Saccharomyces cerevisiae S288C: one gene and its partners. The protein of the gene in region 1 binds, or shares a complex with, the protein of each later gene. Each region holds a gene or a part of one and is shown in the gene's direction. Other genes may lie near its edges.

Region 1 (4,872 bases):
CTTGTCTGTCAAGAATATTGCATTTCTTGGTTTTTCGGTGAGGCTAAGTGCCTTCCCAACTTCTGGATATGTTCTGTAGATCTCAGCAGCATCAATGTGAATAATGCCAGGTAACTTCAGAGCATAAACAATCTGTTCGACCAAACTGTTCGAAAAGGTAGCATCCGTTTCTTCGTTTTTATACCATCTAGTACCTGTCCCAATGATGGCGATTGCGGGGATTTTATTTCCATTATTCAAGGTAAAGAACTGTTGGTGAAATGACATCTGTAAAAGTGTTGTTAACTGACCTCCGTTTCTTTAGGGTAACACAACCGTTTACATGTGTATCCATATCCACGTAGTATCCGACTATCAATATATCCGTATATATATATATATATATATGGGATGAGCGTATGTGAGTGTTTTCGTAGATATTCAAAATACGAGTAAAGGAGATCCTAGGTGTGGATTAGTAAGGGGAGTGTGGCAACTTCCTTTTTCCGGTTAATTCTCCGCGCTTTCGTTAGACTATTTTGCAAGGACCCAAATAGGAGACGCATGGAGGCTTCTACAAAACAGCGTGCCGTTTTGATGGCATGAGCAGGGGGCGCAAAGGAAACACCGGTAAATCGCGCAAGACCTTGTTGGCCACGTAGCCTCAAAGGTTGAATTGACACTTGTCTACAGAACTTGAAAAGTACAAAAGGAGGTCACATAAAACAGTAAGCTTGAGAAGCTTTAAGATATGGTGCGAATCGTTACAGAATATTCCTTGCAGAAATAATGGCGGGTCCGTTCTCTTCTGAAGAAGTTACCGCCCTACTGAAGCATTGCTGTACGATCGTGTAATGTGATGTGTGTTCGACTGGAAAGCGGAGAACATTATGAAGTAAAAGGACAATCAGCACGCCTTCCAGACTTTTAAGAAACATTGATGGAGCCATTGATATCGGCACCGTACCTAACAACAACAAAAATGTCTGCTCCTGCTACGCTTGATGCTGCCTGTATTTTTTGCAAGATTATTAAAAGTATGTCACATTACTAATAAAGAGCTTACACTCACACCAATGATGGCGATAGTCTCTATGTAGTACATATACATAAAGCAGAATACTAACAATCGATCCGCTATGCAACAGGCGAAATTCCATCCTTCAAATTGATTGAAACAAAGTACTCGTATGCTTTCTTGGACATCCAACCTACTGCTGAAGGTCATGCTTTAATCATTCCTAAGTACCATGGTGCGAAGTTGCATGACATCCCGGACGAATTCCTTACCGATGCTATGCCGATTGCCAAGAGACTGGCCAAGGCAATGAAGTTGGACACTTATAATGTGTTGCAGAATAATGGTAAAATTGCGCATCAAGAAGTCGACCACGTCCACTTCCATTTGATTCCTAAGAGAGATGAGAAAAGTGGTTTGATTGTAGGGTGGCCAGCCCAAGAAACGGACTTCGATAAGTTGGGCAAGCTACACAAGGAATTGCTTGCCAAACTAGAAGGCTCCGATTAGAGTAATGCATGCTATGATTTCTTTTAGCGTTTTCTTTTCATATTTAAGTTTATACATATGGGTGTGTTTGCTTCCATTCATATCCACTCTATAATGCTAACAATCATGTTACTAGCCATCGTTGCTATCGATACCTTATGAACAGCTCTAACTCCTTCCTTTTTAACCTACCGCCTTTTGCGCACTACCCGGCAACCCCTCGAATGTGAATTCGGTGGCAAAAAAGGACATATATCAGGGCCGTGTATTTAAGAGATCCGCAGTTGATGTAGTCAATTAATCTAGTTCTATTAAGATTTGACTCAACGCCATTGACTCGATAACTGGCTCAACTACAAGACAGATATACAAATCATGGGTGAAGAACATAAACCACTTTTGGACGCCTCGGGTGTCGACCCTCGTGAGGAGGATAAAACCGCCACCGCCATTTTAAGAAGAAAGAAGAAGGACAACATGCTTTTGGTGGACGATGCTATCAATGATGACAATTCTGTCATTGCTATTAATTCTAACACCATGGACAAATTGGAATTGTTCCGTGGTGACACCGTTCTCGTTAAGGGCAAGAAGAGAAAAGATACTGTCTTAATTGTGTTGATCGATGACGAATTAGAAGACGGAGCATGCAGGATAAACCGTGTAGTTCGTAACAATTTACGTATTAGGCTGGGTGATTTAGTTACAATTCATCCTTGCCCCGATATCAAATACGCTACTAGAATTTCTGTGTTACCAATTGCTGATACGATCGAAGGTATAACTGGTAATCTTTTCGATGTTTTTTTGAAGCCTTATTTTGTGGAAGCCTACAGACCAGTGAGGAAAGGCGACCATTTTGTTGTCAGAGGCGGTATGAGACAAGTCGAATTCAAGGTTGTGGATGTCGAACCTGAAGAATATGCCGTCGTTGCTCAGGATACTATTATTCACTGGGAAGGTGAGCCAATCAACAGGGAAGATGAAGAAAATAATATGAATGAGGTGGGTTACGATGATATTGGTGGTTGTCGTAAGCAAATGGCTCAAATTAGGGAAATGGTTGAACTACCATTGAGACATCCTCAGTTGTTCAAGGCTATCGGTATCAAGCCACCAAGAGGTGTTTTGATGTATGGTCCCCCTGGTACTGGTAAAACCTTGATGGCAAGAGCTGTTGCTAATGAGACCGGTGCCTTTTTTTTCTTAATTAATGGTCCAGAAGTCATGTCAAAAATGGCTGGTGAATCAGAGTCTAACTTAAGAAAGGCCTTTGAAGAAGCCGAAAAGAACGCTCCAGCCATCATTTTTATCGATGAAATCGATTCTATAGCTCCAAAGAGAGACAAGACTAATGGTGAAGTTGAGAGAAGAGTTGTCTCTCAATTGTTAACTTTAATGGATGGTATGAAGGCAAGATCTAATGTTGTTGTCATTGCTGCTACCAATAGACCAAATTCGATTGATCCCGCTTTAAGAAGATTTGGTAGATTCGATCGTGAAGTCGACATTGGTATCCCAGATGCTACAGGTAGACTTGAAGTTCTACGTATTCACACCAAGAACATGAAGTTGGCTGATGATGTTGATTTGGAAGCATTGGCTGCTGAAACACACGGTTACGTGGGTGCTGATATTGCCTCTTTGTGTTCTGAAGCTGCCATGCAACAGATCCGTGAAAAAATGGACTTGATAGATTTAGATGAAGATGAAATTGATGCAGAGGTGCTCGATTCTTTAGGAGTCACCATGGACAACTTCAGATTCGCATTGGGCAATTCAAACCCATCTGCATTGCGTGAAACCGTTGTTGAAAGTGTCAATGTTACTTGGGATGACGTTGGTGGCCTAGATGAAATCAAGGAGGAATTGAAGGAAACTGTAGAATACCCAGTCTTACATCCAGACCAATACACAAAGTTTGGGTTATCACCATCAAAGGGTGTGTTGTTCTACGGTCCACCAGGTACAGGTAAAACTTTGTTAGCAAAAGCTGTAGCTACTGAGGTTTCTGCCAACTTTATCTCAGTCAAAGGTCCAGAATTATTGAGTATGTGGTATGGTGAATCGGAATCTAACATCCGTGATATTTTTGATAAGGCAAGAGCAGCTGCACCAACCGTCGTTTTTCTAGATGAATTAGACTCCATTGCCAAGGCAAGAGGTGGTTCCTTGGGTGATGCTGGTGGTGCTTCGGATAGAGTCGTCAACCAACTATTAACAGAAATGGATGGTATGAATGCTAAGAAAAATGTGTTCGTGATTGGTGCCACCAATAGGCCAGATCAAATTGATCCTGCTATTTTAAGACCTGGCAGATTGGATCAATTAATTTATGTTCCATTGCCAGATGAAAACGCTAGATTATCTATTCTAAATGCTCAATTAAGGAAAACACCACTAGAACCAGGGCTAGAGTTAACTGCGATTGCCAAGGCCACTCAAGGTTTCTCTGGTGCTGATTTACTCTATATTGTGCAGAGGGCTGCTAAATACGCTATCAAGGATTCTATCGAAGCTCACAGACAACACGAAGCTGAAAAGGAAGTGAAAGTAGAAGGTGAAGACGTGGAAATGACAGATGAGGGAGCAAAGGCTGAACAAGAACCAGAAGTAGATCCTGTTCCATATATTACAAAGGAGCATTTCGCAGAAGCTATGAAGACCGCTAAACGTTCTGTTTCAGATGCTGAATTGCGTCGTTATGAAGCATACTCACAGCAAATGAAAGCATCTAGAGGTCAATTCAGTAATTTCAACTTTAATGACGCTCCATTAGGTACTACGGCTACGGACAATGCTAACAGTAATAATAGTGCTCCAAGTGGAGCAGGTGCTGCATTTGGTTCTAATGCGGAGGAAGATGATGATTTGTATAGTTAGTTATATGCCAGGTATATTTTTATTTTAAATCGTAAATTCAAGTCATTTCTATAAAAAAAATCGTCAATTTTAACTCAATATTTTATGGCCCTTTTTATATTTATTTTCAAATTTGTCAAAAAAAGGAGAGCTAAATCATTAGAAAAAGAATGCATTATGGTATATTTATGTATATTAATATGTAAAATAAGAAAAAAGGGAGGCTGTAGGACCTCGGTCGTAAGAACATTTACCTGTGTTCTTCCGCCTTTTCCGAAAGTGCCATGAAGAAACGCAGGCCAGGCATAATTTCGACATTTAAAATCACGATTTGAAGTAATTTGACCAATTCGATTTCTTTACTTTTGTATCTTCTTTTATTATCTGTTTGTTTAACCCAGTTTTCAAGATCACAGGGCGCGCTTTACTAAAATTAAAAGGCTTAATTGTCGGTATTGGCCTATTTTCCTTGTTATCGTGTTTGGAGTCTATGTTGTATGTTCGCGGAGAAAACTTGTCGCTAA
Region 2 (7,151 bases), on another chromosome or scaffold:
GTCGTCGAATCCTAAGACCTTGTTTGAAAAGAATCGTCCAAAATGGGAGAACTGGCGCCAATGAATAAACCAGACGAAGGTATCACGAACATGTGCCAAAGCTTGTACCGGTACCAAATTATGCGAATGTCAGTCAGTAACAATGTCAGACCCTACTATCAACCCAGATGTAGCTCAAGTGGAACCTACTGTTCTCTCAAGCTTTTTAATAGAAACGCTCATAGAATATCATAGAGAGTTCAATAATAGCGGTATCATAGTTTATCTGATAACGTGCAAACTGTCCTGATCATGAAGCGGAGTTGAATGACAGGGTGATGGAATTGATGGCTAGTTGCTTTCGTATGCCTCGGTATAGGCATGCTAATGACACCCTAGGGTGGCTATTAGTATGTTGCAATGCCGAGAGGAGGTTGAATAACAATACCATTACATCAGCCGATAATATAGTGCATTGTATCAGCAAAATTAAGCAGTCAATTTATTTTTTTATCATTTAATGGCGATGGTTGGATAATTGTCTAAGAACAGTATTGAGTATTGCAATAAACCACTAAGGTTAGCCTCACGGCCAAACTATGTTGGTATCACTGTTACTAACAAGGTGGTTGTGTACGTGAAGGCAGATTGGCCTCAGAAGGCTCTTACCATTAAATAACAAGGCCATTATTCCACTCAATAGCTTGGCACTTGCACATTTGTGTGCCATTTACACTGAATGATTCATCTTTTTGATATCATGCAATATAATAATACAGGTGATAGAATGCGAAAAGCACGGGAAATAGGTGACTTTTGAGATAGTTGTTGAATACCATTTCCATAACAATACAATTTGGACAACATTATCTTATACCGAATATACCTTAAGTTTTACTCGAAAATATAGGAATCCATAAAAGGATCGATGATTCTTCATAATAATATTATGGTTTCTCGTTCCACTTTATATGTTGTCACTCATTATCCTATTGCATTATCAAGTCGTGCGTTCCACCCCCATTAAATTTGATGGCAGCTTTTAAATCTTTACCTTTATGCCATATTTCTACGTCGTATATGTAATAAGATGGATGCTAGACTATAGGGGGTAGGTGGTTCCTCTTCCGACATGTAGAGAATGTGGATTTTGATGTAATTGTTGGGATTCCATTGTGATTAAGGCTATAATATTAGGTATGTAGATATACTAGAAGTTCTCCTCGAGGATTTAGGAATCCATAAAAGGGAATCTGCAATTCTACACAATTCTATAAATATTATTATCATCGTTTTATATGTTAATATTCATTGATCCTATTACATTATCAATCCTTGCGTTTCAGCTTCCACTAATTTAGATGACTATTTCTCATCATTTGCGTCATCTTCTAACACCGTATATGATAATATACTAGTAACGTAAATACTAGTTAGTAGATGATAGTTGATTTTTATTCCAACACGACAATCATGAGTAATTACTTGATAGTGGATAGTAAGTTTTGATAGACACTTCCATTTTAAACTGATTTCACTTTTTACAGTGGCTAGAAATTACAATAAGAAATGGGCGTGTGGCGTAGTCGGTAGCGCGCTCCCTTAGCATGGGAGAGGTCTCCGGTTCGATTCCGGACTCGTCCAAATTTTTTGCTACTTTGCAATTAGTGTAACTTCATATTTAAAATTATAGTTAATCAAGAACAGAATATCGTCACAATGCTCTTTAAATGTTACGTACTTCTTACCTCCAGCTTGACTATATACTTGTCAATTCGAGTTAACCCAGATTATGCCCCAACATGGAAAACTGAAAAATATTGATGAAGCGAGGAAAAAAAACGTCATAGGAAAAATTCAAATGTTGCAACTTCAGATGGTTTTCTTCAATATATACAATACTGAAGAAGTCCTTCTTAATAGTTCAAATCTGCTAAGCCATCAAAAAAAGTTCAAGCAATAGTTGGTTCTTAATGTCGTTTGGTGGAATCAATACATTTCAACAGTATAACACAGATTTAGGGCTCGGCCATAATGGTGTTAGAATATCCTTAAACTACTTTGATGGTTTGCCGGATCCAAGTCTTTTAAACTCCTTGTACTCGAACGAGCTGAAACTCATTTTCAAATCTCTTCTGAAAAGAGATGAAACTACAAAAGAAAAAGCTTTAATGGATCTTTCCAATTTGATCAGCGACTTTAACCAGAATGAGTACTTTTTCAATGACATTTTTCTTCTTTGTTGGTCGCAGATATATGCTAAACTGATAATTAGTGATTACAAGGTCATCAGACTGCAATCACATCAAATTACTATAATGCTTGTCAAAAGCCTTCGGAAGAAAATATCGAAGTTTTTAAAGGATTTTATACCTTTGATACTTCTCGGTACATGCGAACTCGATTATAGTGTTTCCAAACCTTCTCTTAATGAATTAACAGAGTGTTTCAACAAAGACCCAGCAAAAATTAACGCCTTATGGGCTGTTTTTCAAGAACAACTATTGAATTTAGTAAAGGAGATTGTTGTAAACGAGAATGAAGATACCATTTCTGATGAACGTTACTCCAGTAAAGAAGAATCTGAGTTTAGATACCACAGAGTTATAGCAAGTGCCGTATTGCTGCTGATTAAGCTTTTTGTTCATAACAAAGACGTCTCAGAACGTAATTCTTCCAGTCTTAAGGTGATTCTTTCTGATGAGTCAATCTGGAAACTACTTAACTTAAAAAATGGGCAAAATACAAATGCCTACGAAACAGTTCTTCGATTGATTGATGTTCTTTATACAAGAGGTTACATGCCTTCCCACAAAAATATAATGAAGTTAGCGGTGAAAAAACTATTGAAATCGTTGACTCATATTACGTCAAAGAATATTCTAAAAGTATGCCCTGTTCTCCCATCAATACTGAACCTTTTAGCTACCTTGGATGACTATGAAGATGGGACAATATGGTCATACGATAAATCTTCTAAAGAAAAAGTACTCAAATTTTTATCGGTTTCCCGTACTTCACCATCGCCAGGATTTTTCAATGCTGTGTTTGCATTGTACAGCTCGACTAAAAGACACAGTTTTCTTGATTATTATCTTGAATGGCTTCCATTTTGGCAAAAATCGGTGCAAAGACTGAATGAAAAGGGCTTTTCTGCGAGAAACAGCGCTGAGGTTCTTAATGAGTTTTGGACAAATTTTTTGAAGTTCGCTGAGGATTCATCAGAAGAAAGAGTGAAAAAAATGGTGGAAAGTGAGATTTTTAACTCTCTGTCTTGCGGGAAATCTTTATCTGAGTACACAAAACTGAACCAGACTCTTAGTGGCGTCTTTCCACCCGATAAATGGGAGAGAGAGATTGAAGATTACTTCACTTCAGACGAAGACATAAGAAAAATAAAGGTGAGCTTTGAGAAGAATCTTTTTGCTTTATTGGTTACTTCTCCTAATAACGAATCCGCAATTAGTCGTTTATTCGATTTTTTTGTGCAATTAATCGAAACAGATCCCTCAAATGTTTTCAACAAATACGACGGTGTATATGATGCTCTCAATTACTTTTTAGATTCAGATATGATTTTCTTGAATGGGAAGATAGGGAAATTTATAAACGAAATTCCAACGTTGGTCCAAGAATCAACATATCAAAACTTTGCTGGTATCATGGCACAGTACTCAAACTCCAAATTTTTCAAAATGAATACTGACGCGATTACTTCGTTGGAAGACTTTTTTATCGTTGCGCTTTCTTTTAACTTACCAAAGACAATAATTTTAGCCACAATGAATGAGTTGGACAATGATATTTATCAACAATTAATGAAATCAGATTCCCTAGAATTAGAATTGTACATTGAAGACTTTATGAAAAATTATAAGTTTGACGACAGTGGGGAAATATTTAAAGGTAATAATAAATTTTTAAATCAAAGGACTATCACCACACTTTACCGAAGCGCAGTTGCCAATGGCCAAGTTGAACAATTTTGTGCTGTTTTGTCTAAATTAGATGAAACTTTTTTTTCAACGTTATTGCTGAATACCGATTTTCTTTCTTGTGCATTGTATGAAGTTTCAGAAGACACTAATGAGAAACTATTCAAGTTGTCATTACAGTTGGCTAAAGGGAATTCTGAAATCGCTAATAAGTTGGCCCAAGTGATTTTGCAACATGCTCAGGTTTATTTCAGCCCCGGGGCAAAAGAAAAATATGTCACACACGCCGTGGAGCTAATTAATGGCTGCAACGATACTTCTCAGATTTTTTTTCCCGCTAACGCAATCGAAGTTTTTGCCAGATATATGCCAGCAATTGATTATAGGTCATCCTTAGTGAGCAGCTTAAGTACTAACACGCATTTGCTCCTTACAGATGATAAGCCTATCAATTTAAAAAATATGCAAAAGCTCATCAGGTATGCTCTATTCTTAGATGCCCTACTTGATGCTCTTCCAGAGCGCGTTAATAACCATATTGTTGCATTTATAACTGTAGTTTCTGAGCTCGTCACTGATTATAATTGCCTTTCAGAGGAACCAAATGATCTTTACTATGATTTTGGGCATACCTTTTTCAAACATGGCAAAGTAAATTTGAACTTTTCTGATATTGTTGGAAACGTTATTCAGCCTGCTAATGGTGGTGATGCTATGCTTACTTTTGATATTGCTGAAAGTAATTCTGTCTACTTTTTTTATTATTCAAGAGTATTATATAAGGTTCTATTGAACAGCATTGATACTGTTTCATCCACCACATTAAATGGGCTATTAGCATCGGTTGAAAGTTTTGTCACGAAAACTGTGAGGGATCAAAAATCTACTGATAAAGATTATCTCCTATGTGCTATATTACTATTGATGTTTAACAGGTCCAACTCAAAAGATGAGATAACGAAATTAAGGACATTGCTGGCATCTCAATTGATTGGGATTAGAGAAGTAGAACTTGTCGATCAAGAATTCAAGTCGTTAGCTCTTTTAAATAATCTGCTGGATATCCCACAGGCAGATAAACAGTTTGTTCCTATAGCACCGCAGAGACTGAACATGATATTCCGTTCAATACTAAAATGGTTGGATAGTGATCTTGCCTACGAGCCTAGCTTTAGCACCGTTAGATTGTTACTACTAGATTTTTTCACCAAACTGATGAGGTTTGAAGGAGTCAGAGATATGGGCATAACAGCTTTTGAACTTTCGGAAAGGTTGCTGGCAGACTCTCTATCGATGTGTCAAATTGATGACACTTTATATTTGTTAGAACTTCGCTCTTCCTGTTTGAACTTATATGAAACATTGTCGCAAGGCGTTTCCAAAAATGGCGAGGAAATCTCAGAATATGGTGATGAAATTCAAGAAAATTTGATTGAACTGATGTTTCTCAACTTTAATCAAGAAAGAAATAACCAAGTATCCACACTCTTCTACCAGAAATTGTACAAGGTCATTTCCTCAATGGAACTCAAAAAGTTAGAATCTCAATACAAAAGAATATTCGAGGTTGTATTGAATGATAAGGATATCGGTAGTAATATTAATCAATCAAGATTATTAACTACTTTGTTGGGTTCTTTGGTGGTAAAAACACAGCAGGATATTATAATTGAGTATGAACTGAGGATTCAAAAACAAACTGGCTCAGACGTAGATGGTAGTGCATCTGATAATGATGTAAACTCAAAATTTAAACTACCTCAAAAATTATTACAAAAAGTTACTGATGAGGTGCCAAAAGAATACCTTGAATACGAGAATAAAAATTCATTTATTAAATATCTATGGTATTGGCACTTGATACTGATGTACTTCAAAGATACGTCTTATAATATGAGACAAATATTTATTGAACAATTAAAGGAAGCTGGTTTAATCAATAGAATGTTTGATTTCATAACAGATCAAATAGATTTAAGAGATACTGAGTTTTGGAAACAGGTCGACACCAAGGAAATTTCGGAATACAACATTGTCGGCAATAATTTCTCTCCTTATAAAGAAGACATATTTGAAGAATGTAAAAAACTTTTGGGCCATACACTTTATCAGTTGTTTAACAACGTCGGTTGTCTAACGAGTATTTGGTGGTTAAATATAAAAGATAGGACATTACAAAATGATATTGAAAAGTTTGTCTCAGAGTTCATCTCCCCAATTTTGATCAAAAATGAATTTGACGATATCAATTCTAAGATGGACCGCCTGACTTCTAATGATGATGCTTTGACTATTAAATTAAATAATATTACTAATGAAGTGAAGGCAAGCTATTTGATTGACGACCAAAAGTTGGAGATTTCCTTCAAACTACCAAAAAACTACCCTTTAACAAATATCCAAGTTAATGGCGTCTCTAGAGTTGGTATAAGTGAACAAAAATGGAAACAATGGATAATGTCTACACAACATGTAATTACAGGCATGAATGGATCCGTTTTGGATTCGTTGGAGTTGTTTACTAAAAATGTGCACTTACAATTTTCTGGTTTCGAGGAATGTGCCATATGTTACTCTATACTACATGCCGTGGATAGGAAACTACCTTCGAAGACATGTCCGACTTGTAAAAATAAGTTCCACGGAGCATGTCTTTACAAGTGGTTTCGATCATCGGGTAACAATACATGTCCATTATGCCGTAGTGAAATTCCATTTAGAAGGTAGACTATCGCATATAAATTTCATATAAATGTACTACATTTTTTAAACAAAGTTCCTTTTATTATTGTGCTCTCTTACAAATTATACAATCCAGCCCTATACCTTGCCAATCCAGCCCATCACCCGGATATTCTGGAAATTTTTTCTCTTCAGGATTTTTTCAGGATAAAAATCGAACTTGAAAGAAGAATGGTTTTTAGTTCAGGCCTTGTTTTCAGTTTTTAGCTACTAAAAGAGGGATAACCATTGATGAAATTCTATTGAATGTCCCCAATTTTCGGAAAAGGACTGCACCGAAATATTTCAATCAAAATCATTTATCGTTTTGTTTAGCTATTTTTTTCTCAAATTATCACTCTTTTCTTCCTTTTTCATTCTCTCAATTGTTCTTTTTATTTGAGGAAATTTGATTGTATTGCATATACAACTATGCGATGCACTTTGTTCATTTTAACTTTGGATATATGTGCCTTGCTATGAACGCGTTCATTTTTAAGTGACCGGACCCTAAAA
Region 3 (3,967 bases), on another chromosome or scaffold:
CCTACCATCGAATCAAACTATTGATATTAAATCTCAGTTTCAAAAAAGCCCAAAAGGGATGAAAGAGTCGTCTCCGTTAAAGGAGTTGGAAGATCCAAATTTCATAGAAGAGCAGAAAAAACTATGGGAAAAGGTTCAGAGTTCTTCCAAACAAGTAAAGTCCACATCCTCTGCATCTACTACCACATCTTCTTGGACTACGGTGACTTCTAAAGGGAAAGCACCTATAGGAACCGTTGTCTCCCCATATTCAAAAACCAATACCAGTTTAAATTCTTCATTAACGGCAAAAACTAGCACAACTTCTACTACCACTACCTTTGCTAGCATGAACAATGTTTCTCCCCGGCAAGAATTTATCAAATGGTGTAAATCACAGATGAAATTAAATTCTGGAATAACCAATAACAATGTCTTAGAACTATTATTGAGTTTACCTACGGGGCCAGAATCTAAAGAATTGATTCAAGAAACAATTTATGCCAATAGTGACGTTATGGATGGTAGAAGATTTGCCACTGAATTTATTAAAAGACGTGTTGCGTGCGAAAAACAAGGTGATGATCCACTAAGTTGGAATGAAGCGCTAGCTCTATCAGGCAATGATGACGACGGCTGGGAATTCCAAGTAGTGAGCAAGAAGAAGGGTAGAAAACACTGAAAGGAAAAGCTTCATAATTTTTTCTTTTCACTGCATATTTCTTTATCATTTATTGTTATTGTATATACTTTATAACTATTTTTTAACGCAGATAATGACAAATTCTATACATATTTTTAAAAAAACACTGAACGAGCGAATACATATCTTTGCACACAGTAGGCACTAATTGACTAATCTTCCATCATTATTTATTTTCAGCTCCCACTCTTTAATACACACTTCTTTCCGTTTCAAGATTGATTGATAACGTCTAGAGAGAGCTTGATTAAAGCAAATTTCTTTACAAACCATAACGAACAATTGAACCCAGCCCGGTTGCAATCTTTCAGCTTCTTGTAAAGTATCTTTAAATTCCAATTCAATTAATTTAACTTCAGTTTCAAATCTCTTCCAGTAATCCTCCCCAATAGAGCCATTTTTATATAGAAGGTTTATCTGAGGAGCCAACTCTTTTAACTTTAATGATCGTCTAACAGATTCTGCTCCTCTGTTCAATAAAGCGGCCTTCAACACCTTCTCGTGAATTTTTTCATTTTCACTCATTTCCTTTATTTGGAAATACAGATCATGGGCATCGTTTTCGTCAAATATGGATGGTTGCTCACTAATTTTTTTGGCCTGCTTCTTTCTGTAGCTTGAAGCAAACATCACAAGGGACACCACCAGAATAAAGACATATATGAGTGGGGTATAAACGGAGATTGATTTCGTCTCCACAATTGGCTCTTCCGTTTCAAAAAACGTCCCGTTGTTGGAGAATTTTGTTTCATTAAATTCGGACATATTGGCAAACTCAAGTAGTTGTGCGTACCTCTTTCCTGTACTTGAATTCGTTTAAATAAGCCATTTCATTAATATTTCATCAATTTTTTCACATATTATTTCAACTTTTAGACGTGTTCCTAAAACTTTTGACGTTTTTTGGCGGGTAATAAGATGCGTCTACCCATTTTAAGGAACGCCCTCGTAACATACAGAACGAAGAGTGGCAAATAATAGGACAGTACTCTGAAGAAAAATTTCCCTATACTACTGATATCGATATACATTTAAGTGAAGTATGCTTATCAGATTTAGATCAAAAAACGGTACACACAGGGTTTCTTGTCAAGAAAACGACCTTTTCGGAACGGTCATTGAAAAGTTGGTGGGTAATCTGGACCCCAATGCCGATGTCGACACATTTACTGTTTGTGAGAAGCCCGGTCAAGGTATTCATGCTGTTTCTGAACTAGCTGATCGAACAGTGATGGATCTAGGACTAAAGCACGGTGACATGCTGATCCTTAACTATTCGGACAAGCCCGCTAATGAGAAAGATGGTGTCAATGTTGAAATCGGATCCGTAGGTATTGACAGCAAGGGAATTCGTCAACACAGGTACGGTCCACTAAGGATCAAAGAACTCGCTGTAGATGAGGAACTAGAGAAAGAGGACGGATTAATTCCTCGTCAAAAATCAAAACTATGCAAGCACGGTGATAGAGGTATGTGTGAATACTGCTCGCCTTTACCTCCTTGGGACAAAGAATATCATGAGAAGAATAAGATCAAACATATATCGTTTCATTCATATCTTAAAAAGCTAAATGAAAATGCTAATAAGAAGGAGAACGGCAGCTCTTATATTTCCCCTCTTTCAGAACCTGATTTTAGAATCAATAAGCGTTGCCATAATGGCCATGAACCATGGCCTCGGGGGATATGTTCTAAATGTCAACCATCGGCAATTACATTACAACAGCAAGAATTTAGAATGGTTGACCACGTTGAATTTCAGAAGAGTGAAATAATTAATGAATTTATTCAGGCGTGGAGGTACACGGGTATGCAAAGATTTGGCTATATGTACGGATCTTATTCTAAGTATGATAACACACCTTTAGGTATAAAGGCCGTCGTTGAGGCGATATACGAGCCCCCTCAGCATGATGAGCAAGACGGTTTAACCATGGACGTAGAACAGGTCAAGAATGAAATGCTACAGATTGATAGACAGGCTCAAGAAATGGGGCTTTCGCGAATTGGCCTAATATTTACAGATTTATCTGACGCGGGAGCTGGGGATGGGTCTGTTTTTTGCAAAAGACATAAGGATTCGTTTTTTCTTTCATCATTAGAAGTTATTATGGCTGCTAGGCATCAAACAAGGCATCCTAATGTAAGCAAGTATAGCGAACAAGGTTTTTTTTCTTCCAAGTTTGTAACTTGCGTTATATCAGGTAATTTGGAAGGTGAAATTGATATTTCGAGCTACCAAGTATCCACAGAAGCTGAAGCATTGGTTACTGCAGATATGATAAGTGGGTCCACATTTCCTTCAATGGCATATATTAATGACACTACAGATGAAAGATATGTACCTGAGATATTTTACATGAAGTCGAATGAATATGGTATAACAGTGAAGGAAAATGCGAAGCCTGCATTTCCGGTAGACTATCTTTTAGTGACGCTGACTCATGGGTTCCCGAATACCGATACGGAAACCAACTCGAAATTCGTTAGTTCCACCGGATTTCCATGGAGCAATCGACAAGCTATGGGGCAATCTCAAGATTATCAAGAATTAAAAAAGTATTTATTCAATGTGGCTTCAAGTGGAGATTTCAATCTTTTGCATGAAAAAATCTCGAACTTTCATTTACTATTATACATAAATTCTCTGCAGATACTCTCTCCAGACGAATGGAAGTTACTAATAGAATCTGCTGTGAAAAATGAATGGGAAGAATCTCTACTAAAACTTGTCTCATCGGCTGGTTGGCAAACGTTAGTCATGATCCTTCAGGAAAGCGGCTAGGAGAGACTGTAAGATTTGAGGTTTTAGATTAAAAAAATAGAAATGCGCGGAAGGTAAAATTGAGCCTTTTTTATTTTAAAACTATGTAAATCATCCAAAATAGTAGACGTTTCTAGAACGTCCCCTTACCAAAAATCACATCATACGAGGAGTTTTAAGGAACAATAACTGGGAGTCGCTTTTACAAATTGGTATATATTAAGGTACTCTTGATATAAACCAAAGGACTTTGCCGTTTAGAGATTTTTATTTATGAAATCTTGTATATAGATTTTGGAAATATCCCTTAAAACTTCCTTTTTTTTTTTTTTTTACCTGTAACAGACGTAACCAAAGGATATAATATAATGAGCACTCCATTTGGCTTAGATTTAGGTAACAATAACTCAGTACTAGCAGTTGCCAGAAATAGGGGTATTGATGTCGTTGTCAATGAAGTTTCTAATAGGTCTACACCATCCTTGGTCGGCTTTGGCCCCAGAAATAGGTACTTAGGTGAA
Region 4 (5,440 bases), on another chromosome or scaffold:
TCAAAAGTGAATTGAGCTTTAATAGATTTACTCTGTTACCGGGATTGAGCCTGGACTTAAATTTGTTGAAATAAGTTACTATCCCCTTATGGCAATTCTTTAAGTCCTCCAACGAGATCTGAGAGGAATATATAGAATTTATTGTTTCTATCAAATTATGAGCCTCATCAATAATTACTATAGAATTTTCAAGGTTTATTTGAAGACTTGAACGGGTGGACTCAGAAAGTAAGTATTGATATGGCAAAGTCACTACCTCCGCAATAGGAAGTGCCTCCCTCGAGGCGTAATAGGGACAAATTCCCAAAGATTTTCCCAGGGGAACTAAATCTTCAATATCTTGAATTTCTGAAAAAATCATATCTCTGAGAGCTAACGTATCAGGACAATGACGCCATTCGTTTGTATTTTGATAAAAGATACATCCCTCTTTACTATGTCTAAGGTCCGCACATGCGTCATTAATAGCTTCCAATGTTTTCCACTTCATCACTTTTGGATTAATACAAAGCTGCTTTTTCGAAGCAAGTGGTAAGTACTTCACCTTTTCATCTGGGACCTTATCCCTAAAGGATGATGGGAACGAGGGTAATCTTAACTGAGAAGTAAATTGACCTAATTGTGAATAAGTTCTGGATGCATAATATATTTTCACTGGATTTTGATTTGTAACGTCAAAGCGATCGCCATTGTTTGGATCTCTCGAAACCTTCCCATCAATTTTGTCTAAAAGTGTTATTATTTGTGAATTTAGTTCACTCAATTTGTAATCTTTATCAGATATTCTTCCTCCTCTTGTGCTTTTGGAGGTATCATTGTTTTCAGAATCTGATTCGTACGGGCGCGGAATAAAATCTTGTTCTTCAAGTGATACATCAAGGTGCCTAGCGCCTTTGCGTTTCTTTCTTAATGGATCAACTGATTTATATCTTCCATGTTCTTTATCTAAATCACACATAGTTTTCAACTGCTTACAACTGGTCGTGTTAATTTCGTTTAAATGCTTCTCATAATCATTTAGCAAATCCACCTTTTCTTGTAAAACAGACTTTCGATAAGTGTCAATAACCCAGTCTGGCTCGTCATCGCTTAGGTTTTCACTATCATCTTCATTCGTTTTGATGTTAGTTTCCATGCGGGTGAAAATATCTGCTTTATTCATTCTCAACCAAGTCATCGTGGCACAGATTAAGGACAGCGTCTTGCCTGTCCCAGTGGGGCTTTCCAGGATAGCTATTTTCTTCCCTTCGGATAGCACTCTGTATACAGTTTCCATTAACTGTACCTGAATATCATAGGGCTTATAAGGATGATAGAAAGTCTCCGAATATTCCTTTTTGTCCATTTTTTGGACTAGTGTGACTGTTTTTAGCCTGGTTTTCTACTCTTTTGGGTTTTAAGGAAACAAACTGAAGTTGCAGTAGTGCCCTCAACTTAGCATGTGCTGATTACACTAATGATGAATTTAAATATGTCAGTGATAATGTCATCAACTGTCAGGTAACAAATGAGCCTCTACCTCAACTCTGTGGTTACGATTAAAATTGGATTTTCAATAAATAGCCTGAGTTTTAACCTTTTCAACAATTGCGACTTCTCTTCCGGACATTAACTAATGCACTATATCTATTGTATATTTGGACGCGTTTGAACTTTTCATTCATGCTGCGGAAGGATAGAAAAATGAAATTTCGCCTGAAAAATAGTTTTAAAAGAATCCGATGGCAAATTGAAAAGAAAGTTGCTACTTATTATCCGGTCTAAGAAGTCAGGCAGGCAAGAGATTAATAGCGATGAAGCAAAGAATTAGTGCCCTAGATTTACTGCTGTTGGCTAGAGAGCTGAAACAGGATTTGGAAGGCTACCGATTGAGTAATATATATAACATTGCCGATTCCTCAAAACAATTTTTGCTGAAATTTAATAAACCAGATTCTAAACTCAATGTTGTTGTCGATTGTGGCTTAAGAATTTACTTAACTGAATTTAGTAGGCCAATACCTCCAACTCCTTCCGGCTTTGTTGTCAAACTAAGGAAGCATCTTAAAGCTAAACGGTTAACAGCTTTAAAGCAAGTAGACCAGGATAGAATTCTTGTTCTACAATTTGCTGATGGCCACTTCTATTTAGTTTTGGAATTTTTCAGTGCAGGGAATGTCATTCTTCTAGATGAGAACAGAAGAATTATGGCTTTGCAAAGAGTCGTTCTAGAGCATGAAAATAAGGTCGGACAAATTTATGAAATGTTTGACGAATCACTTTTTACCACAAATAACGAGTCTGCTGATGAATCCATAGAAAAAAACAGAAAGGCAGAATACACCTCTGAACTAGTCAACGAGTGGATAAAAGCAGTTCAAGCCAAGTATGAATCAGACATTACTGTTATTAAGCAACTTAACATTCAAGGGAAGGAGGGCGCTAAAAAAAAAAAAGTGAAAGTACCTTCCATCCATAAACTGCTGCTTTCGAAAGTCCCTCATTTGTCTTCAGATTTATTATCAAAGAACCTTAAGGTATTCAATATCGACCCTTCAGAGTCTTGTTTAAATCTTTTGGAGGAAACAGACTCACTCGCCGAATTGCTAAACAGTACTCAGTTAGAATATAATCAACTTTTAACTACCACCGATAGAAAGGGTTACATTTTGGCCAAAAGAAATGAAAATTATATCTCTGAAAAAGATACTGCCGATTTGGAATTTATTTATGATACATTCCATCCCTTTAAGCCATATATAAATGGGGGAGACACTGACTCTTCTTGTATCATTGAAGTTGAAGGTCCTTACAATAGGACGCTAGACAAATTTTTCTCAACAATAGAATCCTCTAAGTATGCTCTACGTATACAAAATCAGGAATCGCAAGCGCAAAAGAAAATCGATGATGCTCGTGCCGAAAATGATAGAAAAATACAAGCTTTATTAGACGTCCAAGAACTAAATGAAAGGAAAGGCCATCTCATAATTGAAAATGCACCCTTAATAGAGGAAGTTAAGCTTGCTGTTCAGGGTCTAATCGATCAACAAATGGACTGGAACACTATTGAGAAACTAATTAAAAGTGAACAAAAAAAAGGCAACAGAATTGCTCAGCTTTTGAACTTGCCTTTGAACTTGAAACAGAACAAAATTAGCGTCAAGCTTGATCTCTCTAGCAAGGAACTCAACACTTCTTCAGACGAGGACAATGAATCAGAAGGCAATACTACTGATAGTTCTAGTGACTCAGACTCAGAAGACATGGAGAGTTCGAAGGAGAGGAGTACAAAAAGTATGAAAAGAAAATCTAATGAAAAGATAAACGTTACAATTGACCTTGGTTTATCAGCTTATGCCAATGCCACTGAATATTTCAATATCAAAAAAACAAGTGCTCAAAAGCAGAAAAAAGTCGAAAAGAATGTCGGCAAGGCTATGAAGAATATTGAAGTCAAAATTGATCAACAATTGAAAAAAAAGCTAAAAGATTCTCACAGTGTCTTAAAAAAGATCCGCACTCCTTACTTTTTTGAAAAATATAGTTGGTTTATTTCAAGTGAAGGATTTTTGGTCATGATGGGTAAAAGTCCGGCTGAGACAGATCAAATCTATTCAAAATATATTGAAGATGATGATATTTATATGTCCAATAGTTTTAACTCTCATGTATGGATCAAAAATCCAGAAAAAACAGAAGTTCCACCGAACACTTTGATGCAAGCGGGTATACTATGCATGTCCTCAAGCGAGGCTTGGTCGAAGAAGATATCTTCTTCTCCATGGTGGTGCTTTGCAAAGAATGTTAGTAAATTCGATGGCTCTGATAACTCCATTCTGCCAGAAGGTGCCTTTCGGTTGAAAAATGAGAATGATCAAAACCATTTACCCCCTGCTCAACTTGTGATGGGTTTTGGATTTTTATGGAAAGTGAAAACCAGTGGAAATGAGGATAATGGTGATGATGACGAAGAAGAAGAAGAAGAAGAAGAGGAAGAAGAAGAAGAAGAAGAAGAAGAAGAAGAAGAAGAAGAAGAAGAAAAAGAAGAAGAAGAAAAAGAAGAAGAGCAACAGCAAGATGAAGACGATAGTAACGAGGTCAATGGGTTAGAGAAGGGTGGAGATTCAAACGATAGCACGAAAAACAACAGTTTTGAACACGATAATCTTGAAAAAGACATCGAAAAGCATTGCACCATATCATCCGATACCGACTCTGATTCTGGAAATGCTAAAGCCAAAAATGACAATAGCAGTACGCAGCGTATCCTTGATGAACCAGGTGTTCCGATATCTTTAATCGAAAACATAAACAGTAACGTCCGTGGTAAAAGAGGAAAATTGAAGAAAATTCAAAAGAAATACGCCGACCAGGATGAAACTGAACGTCTCTTGCGTTTGGAGGCCTTGGGTACTTTGAAGGGTATCGAAAAGCAGCAACAAAGGAAGAAAGAAGAAATAATGAAGCGAGAAGTTAGAGAAGATAGAAAGAATAAACGCGAGAAACAAAGAAGACTACAGGCTTTAAAATTCACCAAAAAAGAGAAAGCAAGAGTGAACTATGATAAACACAAGTCCGAATTAAAACCATCTCTCGATAAGGGCGATGTGGTTGATGATATTATACCAGTATTTGCCCCCTGGCCTGCGCTTTTGAAATATAAATACAAAGTCAAAATACAACCGGGAAGTGCGAAGAAAACTAAGACTTTAACTGAAATTTTACATTATTTCAAGAGTAGACCACTAGACGGTTCTTCAACTGACAACGAAATGGATTGGCCCCAAGAACATGAAATGATTAAAGGCTTGAAGGAACAGGACTTGGTTCTTCTGCTCTGTGTCGACAAGTTAAAAGTAACAATCGCTGGGCAGAAATCCACCAAGAACGGTGGTAACTCTTCGAAGAAGGGCAAAAAAAAACGCTAAATCATATGAGATGAAAAGAAAATAGACAGCAATTATAATTTTTTCATTATTTTTCATCACAGACCAACGAGAAGAATAAAATGATTAGCATGAGGTGACAATCATTTCTAAATGAGCAACATATACTTATATATATAAGTAGATACATATATATGGAAGGGAGAAAGTAAGACACTGCATATATACCATATAAGACCAGCTAAAATTTTCTTCTATCCGCTTTGCCTTGTGATCATAAGCCTTGCTGTAACCTTTCTTGAAACTTGCTCTTTGCGAAACCCCACGCGCCTAAGAAACCCTTATCCAAATCTAATGCCATTTGGGGTTCGTTCGTAGGTGGTTTAGAAACTCTGGATGCAATAGTGTTAGAGTCAGTTTCGAGGATAACACCATTATCAATGGTTTCATCAATAGCTAATAAAACCATATCATAGTTTTCTTGGATGTTTTTTTTGTCCATTCCTGAGTTCAAAATCAAATCCAAAGCTCCTCTGATTGCTGAAAATCCTTGCTGAAGAACAATTTCATTC

The links.
Region 2: CDC48 (region 1) and RKR1 share a complex: the UniProt entries of both Saccharomyces cerevisiae proteins name them as parts of the ribosome quality control complex.
Region 3: the proteins of CDC48 (region 1) and NPL4 are in contact, whole or in part, in a cryo-EM structure (PDB 8DAR), measured with the Saccharomyces cerevisiae proteins. Residues at the interface, in NP_010157.1 of Saccharomyces cerevisiae: Arg74 (codon at 2,081), Asn207 (codon at 2,480), Met208 (codon at 2,483), Asn209 (codon at 2,486), Arg266 (codon at 2,657), Asn270 (codon at 2,669), Gly273 (codon at 2,678), Ala274 (codon at 2,681), Phe275 (codon at 2,684), Phe276 (codon at 2,687), Phe277 (codon at 2,690), Leu278 (codon at 2,693), Ile279 (codon at 2,696), Asn280 (codon at 2,699), Glu283 (codon at 2,708), Lys287 (codon at 2,720), Ala289 (codon at 2,726), Gly290 (codon at 2,729), Glu291 (codon at 2,732), Ser294 (codon at 2,741), Asn295 (codon at 2,744), Arg297 (codon at 2,750), Lys298 (codon at 2,753), Ala299 (codon at 2,756), Glu302 (codon at 2,765), Lys305 (codon at 2,774), Asn306 (codon at 2,777); in NP_009729.1 of Saccharomyces cerevisiae: His205 (codon at 2,337), Asn206 (codon at 2,340), Gly207 (codon at 2,343), His208 (codon at 2,346), Glu209 (codon at 2,349), Trp211 (codon at 2,355), Pro212 (codon at 2,358), Arg213 (codon at 2,361), Gly214 (codon at 2,364), Ile215 (codon at 2,367), Cys216 (codon at 2,370), Ser217 (codon at 2,373), Lys218 (codon at 2,376), Gln220 (codon at 2,382), Ser222 (codon at 2,388), Ala223 (codon at 2,391), Thr428 (codon at 3,006), Tyr433 (codon at 3,021), Val434 (codon at 3,024), Pro435 (codon at 3,027), Glu436 (codon at 3,030), Phe438 (codon at 3,036), Lys450 (codon at 3,072).
Region 4: CDC48 (region 1) and RQC2 share a complex: the UniProt entries of both Saccharomyces cerevisiae proteins name them as parts of the ribosome quality control complex.

What each region holds. Positions count from the first base shown.
Region 1 is NC_001136.10:235,654-240,525, reverse strand, and holds CDC48 (AAA family ATPase CDC48), read left to right. Parts: upstream 1-1,861; coding exon 1,862-4,369; downstream 4,370-4,872. Other genes in the region: YDL124W (aldo-keto reductase superfamily protein), read right to left, coding at 1-267; HNT1 (adenosine 5'-monophosphoramidase), read left to right, coding at 920-1,016, 1,128-1,507; cyclin PCL2, read right to left, coding at 4,673-4,872. UniProt on the Saccharomyces cerevisiae protein: ATP-dependent chaperone which probably uses the energy provided by ATP hydrolysis to generate mechanical force to unfold substrate proteins, disassemble protein complexes, and disaggregate protein aggregates.
Region 2 is NC_001145.3:762,841-769,991, reverse strand, and holds RKR1 (ubiquitin-protein ligase RKR1), read left to right. Parts: upstream 1-1,952; coding exon 1,953-6,641; downstream 6,642-7,151. Other genes in the region: YMR247W-A (uncharacterized protein), read right to left, coding at 566-709. UniProt on the Saccharomyces cerevisiae protein: E3 ubiquitin-protein ligase component of the ribosome quality control complex (RQC), a ribosome-associated complex that mediates ubiquitination and extraction of incompletely synthesized nascent chains for proteasomal degradation.
Region 3 is NC_001134.8:575,844-579,810, reverse strand, and holds NPL4 (nuclear protein localization protein 4), read left to right. Parts: upstream 1-1,724; coding exon 1,725-3,467; downstream 3,468-3,967. Other genes in the region: SMY2 (Smy2p), read left to right, coding at 1-661; Sec63 complex subunit SEC66, read right to left, coding at 827-1,447; adenyl-nucleotide exchange factor SSE2, read left to right, coding at 3,815-3,967. UniProt on the Saccharomyces cerevisiae protein: Substrate-recruiting cofactor of the CDC48-NPL4-UFD1 segregase. Assists CDC48 in the dislocation of misfolded, polyubiquitinated ERAD substrates that are subsequently delivered to the proteasome for degradation.
Region 4 is NC_001148.4:535,290-540,729, reverse strand, and holds RQC2 (Rqc2p), read left to right. Parts: upstream 1-1,793; coding exon 1,794-4,910; downstream 4,911-5,440. Other genes in the region: CHL1 (DNA helicase), read right to left, coding at 1-1,345; RET3 (coatomer subunit zeta), read right to left, coding at 5,143-5,440. UniProt on the Saccharomyces cerevisiae protein: Key component of the ribosome quality control complex (RQC), a ribosome-associated complex that mediates the extraction of incompletely synthesized nascent chains from stalled ribosomes as well as their ubiquitin-mediated proteasomal degradation.